Linked DNA regions of Rattus norvegicus. The protein of the gene in region 1 interacts with the protein of each later gene in a pairwise test. Links are inferred from orthologs where the notes say so. Each region holds a gene or a part of one and is shown on either strand. Other genes may lie near its edges.

Evidence for each region. The genes of interacting proteins can lie anywhere in the genome.
Region 2: the proteins of Top1 (region 1) and Btbd1 interact in a two-hybrid assay, tested with the Homo sapiens proteins (2 studies listed by BioGRID). The link is inferred for Rattus norvegicus from reciprocal best matches to the Homo sapiens genes TOP1 and BTBD1.

The regions. Positions count from the first base shown.
Region 1 is NC_086021.1:169,792,827-169,797,601, reverse strand, and holds the end of Top1 (DNA topoisomerase 1), read right to left. Parts: intron 3,595-4,775; exon of another isoform or gene 2,588-3,594; coding exon 2,485-2,587; 3' UTR 1,272-2,484; downstream 1-1,271. UniProt on the Homo sapiens protein: Releases the supercoiling and torsional tension of DNA introduced during the DNA replication and transcription by transiently cleaving and rejoining one strand of the DNA duplex.
Region 2 is NC_086019.1:145,152,987-145,157,661, reverse strand, and holds part of Btbd1 (BTB/POZ domain-containing protein 1), read left to right. Parts: intron 1-2,826; coding exon 2,827-3,019; intron 3,020-3,463; exon of another isoform or gene 3,464-3,570; intron 3,571-4,675.

The sequences.
Region 1 (4,775 bases):
GGGGATTTGCAGCTTGGGTGCCACATAGAAGCACCCCCATTTGCCCAGAGAGAGGGATTTCTCAGATGCTGTCCTCCTGGCTTCTGCTCTTGAATATGGGCTGGAATTGAGTGTGCTCCAAGCGCAAGCATCTTTTAGAACTTTGTATACTTCTACCCACTCATCAGCTCCCTCGTAACCCGCTGCTGCCCCAATCTCTTCTCGGTCCCAGTCAGGATCAGCTGAGCGCCCTGCTCTGCCACAGCTCTCCTTAGAGGCCTGCCCCCACTGCCTGGAGTGTGTGCTATTTGCTGTGTTATCTTGGGCAGCACATACTTGCTCTTCACGCAGGCGGAGCTTACCAGAGGCGGGCACTGCTTCCTGCTTTATATCTGCCCAGTGTTGGTAACCTAGTTACTATCAGCTCCCAAAACTAAGGTGCACTTCTTACCAGACCTCATGTTTTAACATTCTTTCTGGCTAGCTCAACACTACAGAATTCATAATAATGTTCTTGGTTCCAAACAGTGATGGTTATACTGTCTTTATTCCCAGGAAGGAGGAAGTGTTGCCTGTCTTCACAGGCCAGTGAAGTTCAAGCTTCAAGGAAGCAAGCGTTTCCTGCCGTGGTCCCAGCACCTGAGACCATTAAGGAAGGTGGTTCTGAATAGAACGCGTATGCCAGCAAGCTCAGGTCTAGACCCTTCAGTCCGTGACCCATTTGGACCTTCCTTTTAGCCAGGAGCTCACCTTTTCATCTTGAATTTCAGACTTAGGATAACAGAAGGAACATTGGTAGGGATTATGGCTACTTTGGGGTACCCAGAGCTCTGGGTTGGCTACAGTTAACAGTTAACTCCTTCGACCAATCAATAGTCTTCCTTCCATCTGAGAGGCTTCTGAGATCTGGTACTCAGTACAGACTGGAGGCTTCACCACATAAGAAAGCTATCCTGTTTCTGTTCAGTACATGTGGAAAGCTCTCCACAATTGTTTCCCAAATAAACAGGCCGTCTTGTGCAAGCGCTACTGCCCACACTGGGCTTAGGCAGCTCTCGGAGGATAACTGTACATTTCCTGGCTTTCTGGGCCTATCTTTAGGGATGGAGCCTCTGCTACTCTTGATTCCACATCAGGACAGACGTACTTCCAGGTCAAGCCCCATACCATCTTCCCACTGGGAGGGACCAACCCTTGCTGACCTGAATGAACAGACCGTGCACTGCACTAAATCTCAGCCCCCGGCCTTTACTGTGGCCTGGGGCCTCATTCACAAAGAGGCAGACGCTATGTTTCCGTTAAGTTGTAGGAGTTTATTTTAAATAACCTACAGTTGATTAAAAGGGAATTCATGATAAAAATAGAAGATACTTGAGGAAAGATGTGGGAATGGACTCTGCACACACACTAAACTAACAATGCCTCTAAAACTAATGATTATAGCAAAAAAAAAGTCTTCACATTAAAATTTTCCTTTTTATGGTTTTTTCCATTTTTTACACAATTACAAAAGAAAAAAAAATAAAAGCCCTAAAATCTTGATTATTTTTTCCTTTTTGTTTTGTTTTTGTTTTTGTTTTCCTTGGACCAAATGCTCATTTTCCTCTAAATTTATTGACCTGTGGAAGTTTTTATACAATAAAATCTTTCAAATGAAAGACTGGGGTTTCCAAAGAAAAAGATGGATTTCTTAAAGGGTACAAAGAATGGTCAGAACAAAGGATGATGGGAAAATGGTTTCAGTCACTGATTATTTCATTATCCTTAGACTCACTCGCCCTTCATCCCTCCCCAACCCCAAGCTACACGATCTTTAAGATCAAGAAGAAGGCTTAAATATTTTAAAATAATTAAAACGAAATAAAAATTCACATTTAAAAAGGAACACTCAAGTCAGGAAATATTTTCCCATCATGCTTTTCTGTGAATAGGTGTCTGAACCAAAACACTGCCGATGATGCCACAACTGCTTCAAGTTTAATGAAAACTGATTCCCATGACGGTGGATGACAGCTGTAATAGGTGCGCTGGGTTTTTGTTTTGTTCTACTTAATTTTAAATTCCTGAAATTGGGGAGAGGAGGGATTTTAGGAATTCGTTTCTATTAAAATATAGAAGTTATTGCAAAACCCTAACTGTAAAAACGCACCAATATAATCAGACTTCGCATACAGTAGCTGAGAGAATCCAAACATTGCAGCAAAACTGAATTTGCCTGGCAGGATGCCAACAAATTCCCATCCACTTGCTCTCTTGAAAATAAAAACAAAATTCAAAACAAATCATACAGCTAGAATTTTGACATCTGAAATATTTTTAAATAAGTTGTCCATAGGACAACTGGCTCAGCTCTCCCTTATAATATCTCCAGGTCTATCTTTTTGCAAAGATGTTGGTTTGTTAAGACTTGTGGCCTCTCCCTCCGGTGTGAGGGCAAGTGAGGCTCAGTTTATCCATCTTCCCCAAACCACACTGTTCCTTTCACAGAACCCCTGCCGAGACTGGTCAAAACTCGTAGTCCTCATCAGTCATATCAATGGCCCAAGCAAACTTCTCTCTCTGGGTTTTGTTGTAAATCTTCTCGATTGGGACCCCCCATTTTTTGCACCTGCAAAAAAAAAATAAACAAATAAATATGGATACAACAAAGGAGATGAGTCTATCTCAATGACAACCCACAGCAGGGGTCGAGTTTTCTGGTGCGCCAAAATATTCAAAGGACTTTAGTATTTTATCATCTCATTTTTTTAATCAACAGAGATATCTAAAGTAGGTGTTACTTTGATATACAAACAGAAAAGGTAGAATTTGGTTAGGGATTTAGCTCAGTGGTAGAGCACTTGCCTAGGAAGCGCAAGGCCCCGGGTTCGGTCCCCAGCTCCGAAAAAAAAAAAAAAAAAAAAAGAACCAAAAAAAAAAAAGAAAAGGTAGAATTTGAACAACCACCCTGCAGAGATGGTAAAAAGCAGTGTCCTCATGCCACTAGAAAGTGCAGCTGCAATTTCACACTACGCAGTTGTCTGAAGCCCACGTTGTTGCCTGCCTCCACACTGCTTCTCAACAGTTAGTCCAGGGAATGGTGAGATGCCTCTGTGGGTAGCCTGCTGTTGTTCAACTGGACACAGCTACAGTTATCACAGAAAGAGAATCTCAATCTAGAAAATGCCTCTATCAGATTGCCTGTGGTAGGTCAGTAGAGCATTTTGACTACCTGATGTGAGAAGTTCCAACCCAGCAAGCTCGTGAGCAGTAAGTATTCCTTTGTGCTGGTCAGTTTCGTGTCCTGCCTCCATGTCCCATCTTAAATGCCTACCCTGACTTGCCTCAGTGATGGAGTGTGACCAGAGTTGTAAGCTGAAACAAACACCCAAATTGCTTTTGGGTCATGGTATTTTATCACACCAATAGAAACCCTAACCAGAACAGCAAGCTTTGACACCAAGCTTGAAGACCAAAATATGATCCTCAGGACCCACATGATGGAAGGAGAGAATCTACCAACTGTTGCCAAACTATCAGCAGAGCTCCTGGTGTCAGCACACACACACACACACACACACACACACACACACACACACACACACACACACACACACACACACACACACACACACACACACGAAAAAAGAAAGTTAACCCTTAGCAACACAAGCACAAAGCTAGGTCTCTGGTCTAGAATTCAACGACTCAAGCTAATGAAACATCTTCAGAAATGATTGACTTGTTTGGATGCTTTTTTGTGGAGCCAGGGGAAGCAAGCCTGGAGCGAGAGCAGGGTCAAGGTGTGTCCAAACCCTGGACGTCGCATCCCGAGATTGGGAAGATTCGATCACTCCTCTCCCCTTCCCCTGGCCTGCATGCTTATGTTCATATAGACTTTGCCTCACCAGAGGTGGTTATGGAGCTGGTAGCCAGATTAAACCTGGATTTCTTCCTCATGCAATGACGCATCCCTATCACCCTGGGCCAGGCCAATGATGTACACTCTCCTCGATAGATAGTCCCTACTCACCCACCAAAGGTTTAAATAACCTTTATTCTCCCCAATAAACCGAACCAGTTCTCTAGGTATGTAAGCTTCTATTCCTTGCGTCCAGCCTGATGATAGGACTAGCTACATGGAGAGGGAGAAGTGGAAATGGGGCAGCACTGTGCATATATGAAAGAGTAAGGGAGGGAGGGAGCTCTGTATTGCTCACCACACCACACCTCTGTAAGCCCTTGATGCTGCAGGGATGGGTTGTCCTCTCTCCTCTCCAAATCCCCTTCCTGACCTAGAATGCTGCAAGGGCCTCCTCTCCACCTCTGCACTTGCCCCAGGACATTGGGAGGTGGGCCATCCCCTCTCTAATGCTGCGTGCCTGCATCAGGTCGAGGCCCTATCCTGGGGGAAATGGGTGCCTTTGTAGAATGGTCTCTCTACCTCTGTGTAGTTACATGGATCTATGGTCTTAATTCTTTGCTGCGCCTTGTGTTTTTTAGGAACTTGTTCTTGTCTTATTTATTCTTGAAACAGTCTTTTTATTTAAACAAGGCTGGCTTCAAACTTGCGTTGATCATCTTGCTTCTGCCTCCTAAGTGCTGGGCTATCGGCATACACTACCAAGTCCAGTTACCTTGTGATTAGAAGGAGGATACCAAATGTACTACTCCTCTGGCTTCTGTAGGTATGGGCTCCTAGACTAACGTGCCCGTGGGCATGTAGGAGATTCCACTGTACCTGTAGCAACCAGAGCTGCAGGCTCTCTTGGAAGAAATGTGAACTTAGACATGGCAGCTTAGGGAGCTGGCAAGTC
Region 2 (4,675 bases), on another chromosome or scaffold:
TGGTGTGCATAATAGAGCAGGCGTCCAAGGCCAGCGGTCTTGGCTCCCCTTGGAGCTGGTGGCATGGCAGTCGTGAGCTGCCCGTGTGGGGGCTGGAAACCAGACTGGGTCTCTACAAGAGCACGCACATGCTGTTCCTTACTAAGCCATCTTTCCAGAGCTGTATTCTTTATTTTCCCCATTTTAATTAGATTTTCACTATCTTTGCATGCCAGTCATGTCTTTGTAAACTGTCGTCTTTTAAGCTAGCAGTTCTGAGAACACCACCATTGGCGTGGTACATCTGAGGACATGGAAGAGCCCTGTACGCACGACTTGCCATCTTGCTTCATGTTCCTATGTTGACTCCGTGTGGTTTTGTGATGGATTTTTGTTTGTTTGTTTGTTTATTCTCTTTTCTGGTATTTTGTTCTCTTACTTACTTATTAAACATTCTTTTATTATTTTGTTAGCAAAATAAAATAGTAATTTTAGCAAAGTAATTTTTAGCAAATTTTTAGTAATTTTTAGCAAAGCAAAAGAAAATTAGTAATTTTAATGAGAAATTGAGTATTTTTTACTATTCTTTTGGTATGTTACTTAATATACAAATCCTTATGATATTTTAAAATTAAATCTTAAAAAATAAAAATTTCAAATTAAACTGTCCTATGCAGTACAAAAGACTTTTCTGTATTATCTTCAGTGTTTGGTGCATTTCATGTATTTTGTTCCTTCATATATTTTAAAGCCTATAAGATGTTGTCATCTTAAAAACCATTAATCATTTAGATTACCTGTAAATTCATCCTTTCTGATGACTGCTGTGCTCTGTCTAGGATCATTTCTGTCAAGCTAAACAATTAGTATTTTCCACAGTAGGTATTAGGCCATCAGAGTCCCTCAAAACTCCTCTTCCCCTCTGTTCCTCTGTAAGCTTCTCCTCCTGCTTTCACTTTTCAAGGCTATGTTTCTGGTTCTAGAGCTTGAGCTTGGCAGCTTCTCATTTACTATTTAGATGCAGCCCTGTTTCCTTTGCTGCAGTTGTTCCCACCAGCCAGGCTCATGTTTAGAAGGATGCACACCTTTCCTCTGGTACTTGTGTTAGGTTTGCTTTCTAGGGGGTTGTTGATGGTCTATTCGGTGTATCTGAGTTCTTTGATGTACCTCTCTCTCTATCTTAGTGATTTACCTCTCTCAGTGATTTACCGCTCTCTCTCTTAGTGATTTACCTCTCTCTCTATCTTAGTGAACGCTACTTTACCTTCTTGAAGCGGTTACATGTTTTTCATTACATGAAGACTTTCTTTTTTGGTTTTGGTTTTGGTTTTTCTGTTTTGTTTTGTTTGGATTTCTTTTTTTCCCCCGAGACAGGGTTTCTCTCTCTGAAGCCCTGGCTGTCCTGGAACTCAACCAGTGTAGACCAGGCTGGCCTCAGACTCAGAGATCTGCCTGCCTCTGCCTCCTGAGAGCTGGGATCAAAAATGTGGCACCACCGATGCCCAGTGAAAACTTCCTTTTTTTTTTCAATGAAGGAAAATCCTCTTGCAACAGGCTTTTGAATTATCATGCATTTTAAACCTTAAGAAGTGTGTGTGGTGCGATGCACTGCATAGTATGTAGAAGCCAGAGGTCAGTCATGGTGTTGTTCCTTAGGAACTGTCCACATTGGGTATTGACAGGTTTTTGGAAGAGCCTCTTACTTGGACTGTGCATGGCTTTTTATATGGGTGCTGGGGATTCAACTTTGCAAAATAAGGAGTCTCCTCAGCCCTTATCCTTAAAATGTTAATTCCTCTGGAGGAAACTCATCTTCCTCCTTTATTTCATCATTCATAGGTACTGTTCTGTTTCTCATGACCTTCCTTCTCTCCCTCTTTCCCTCTCTGCCCTCTGTTTGTTTGCTTTATACTCTTTCCTTATCCACAGATTACAAGTAATAAAGCTTGCATCATGTGTGCTGAGCAATAGATTTTGTCACTTTGTATGTGATTTCTTTTTTAAAACTTACTTGAGGGTTGGGGATTTAGCTCAGTGGTAGAGAGCTTGCCTAGGAAGCGCAAAGCCCTGGGTTCGGTCCCCAGCTCCGAAAAAAAGAACCAAAAAAAAAAAAAAAAATTACTTGAGTCAGGGTCCCACTGTGTAACCTCTGTGATGAGGAAATTGCTATGTGGACTGTGCTGATCCCGAGCTTACAGAAATTCAGCTGCCTCTACACACGAAGTTCCTGGATTACAGGCATGTGCCACCGCACCTGGCTCTCAGACTGAAAGTTTAAAAAAAATTGTTTTAAAATCAGTAGGCTTCCTAATCCAAAACTGTAGTATTTTGAAGTCTCTTCTGCTTCTACTTGCTTTGCAATGGATCTCCTGCCCTCTTTGTGGGGGAGCAGCATTAATTCTGTGAAGTACTCTAATAAGACACAGTGAACTGGGAAATTGTACTGTATGTGGTTGTCTGTTTGCACAGCTTTCCCAACCATAGTTCTCACCTTCTGCTCACTTCTAAACCCCAGTAACAAAGCATTCTTCCCTGTCATTCTGGGCTGCAATGTCCCTTGTTCAGATTATAGTCTCCGACAAGTATTGACTGGGAAATGGAAGGCCACAGGCACCTGTCTGACCTTGGAGTTAGTTGATTTACCAACAGAGAGATTGATTCTTTTGGTGAACAGAAGTCTGTGGTCCTCAGGGTAGTGGACAGAAAGATCCTTTTTGTTATGGTAGCATTCCATCTAAGCCTTCACTTATCTTAACACATTCTTTCAGGTTAGCCTCAAAGGGATTGGCCAAAACTTCAAATGTATGCTAAAATTTTAAATGCTAAGTTTATTTTCTATTTTTCCAGGTCCTGCTCAATCTGGAATTCTGTCAGATCGTGAAGTGGTAAACCTCTTTCTTCATTTTACCGTCAATCCTAAACCCCGAGTCGAGTACATTGACCGGCCGCGATGCTGCCTCAGAGGAAAGGAATGCTGTATCAATAGGTTCCAGCAAGTAGAGAGCCGCTGGGGTTACAGTGGGACGAGCGATCGGATCAGGTATCTGTCTGTTGGAGTGTGGGTGTGGTGGCGTGGGATAGAGGGGACAGTTAGTGGTTGGTCTTTATCCTTTTGAGAGGTAGTTAACACGTATTTTATAGTTTGCTTAATACAGGATGAGGCCAAAGCTGCACACAAAGGAGAAATAACGGTTTGTAGTAAATAAGAGTAGGACAGCCGATCCAAGTGAGAAGAAGTGAACACAGAGCCCAAGAGAAGATAAATAGGCGAGTGAAGAAAGTCGTGCATTAAAAGTAGGAAAACCGATCAATTCACAACTGTTTTCCTTAAAAGACTAACAAAGCAAGCCATCCTAGAAGCAGTTCTTTAAATTCATATTTAGAAATCAAAATGCGACTATCGTATGCTGAAATTTTTACTTTCGTTCTGGGTTTACTCTATGCTAATAAATTGAACATCTTGATGGAATGGATCATTTTATAGGCAAATATAAATTATCAAAATTGACCGAAGAAGAAAGCCTGAGTAGACCAATTACCCTGGGAAGAATTAAGTTATCAAAGAACTGTCCATTCACAAAGTTTTTACAGGTGAGTTTTTATCCACCATTCGAGGAACAGCGTTTCCTTGAGCACTGAAGGAGGAGAATGCCATGTGGTTAATTACTGACGGAAGCAAAGTTCAGATAAGAGTGGAACAGGACACATTCTAGCCGAGCCTCCCATGTGGAGGAAGTTCCGCATACCCACTCTGCCTTAATGGAACAGAGAGAACAAATAGTATGTGTTTGGAGAATCAAGAAGTCGGTCTGTGATAGAGCTCACCCCAGTAGGAGACCACAGGAAACAGTGGTTCCACTAGGCAGTGAGACTTGGTGGGCCGGCGGTACCTTTGATAAAACTCTACCTTTGTACTGGTGATAATATTGATAGATTAAATTGTTAGCATTTGTCTAACCATGGCAGACTATTGAAGAGAAATTAAAAATCCAACTAGAAATATTACCAGTTTTACTGAGTTTTGCTGGTGATTACTGCAGTCATAAATTAGAGCCCTATATAATCAGAAAGGAAGAGGCCTTTCCCACTAGTTCTGGATGTACATTAATATATAGCTCTTGAAAACTCAGTTTTTCTGTAGTAAATATTTTGTACCCCCTTTACTGACTTGAAATTCATAGTGTCAACAGTTTAGGGGATAAATGGCATATTTGTAATACAAAGGAGAAATAAAAACAGTTGATAATAAAAATTTAAAGAGAAATATTGAAGCTGATAGTAAAATTAGTACTTTGGTGTCTAGACTTTAAGTGATACACTAGCAGGCGAACGGAAGTACACAGTCTCTCTATACACTCGTGTGCTAGCTACAAAGAATGCACATGTTTATGACTTACATTTCAATATTTGATAAAAGTTCAGTCAGTCCTTTGTATTCATTTTTCCATATCTGAACTTATTTATCTACTGGCTGAAAGCTATTTGGAACTCATTACTCAGCTTTTTAGACATTTTCTGCCAGAAATTTTAGTTGCATGTTCCCAGGCAAGCTGAAATTCTTGAAGCTCTGCCTTCCTATGTCAGATTTTCCTACAAAAGCAGAAAAGATAAGGGAGGGGCAAGAAACTGCTCTGGGCTGGATCTGATGGGCCCAGGTGAAACAGCTATTGTAAGGCAGCCTTGGCCAAGTCACCGA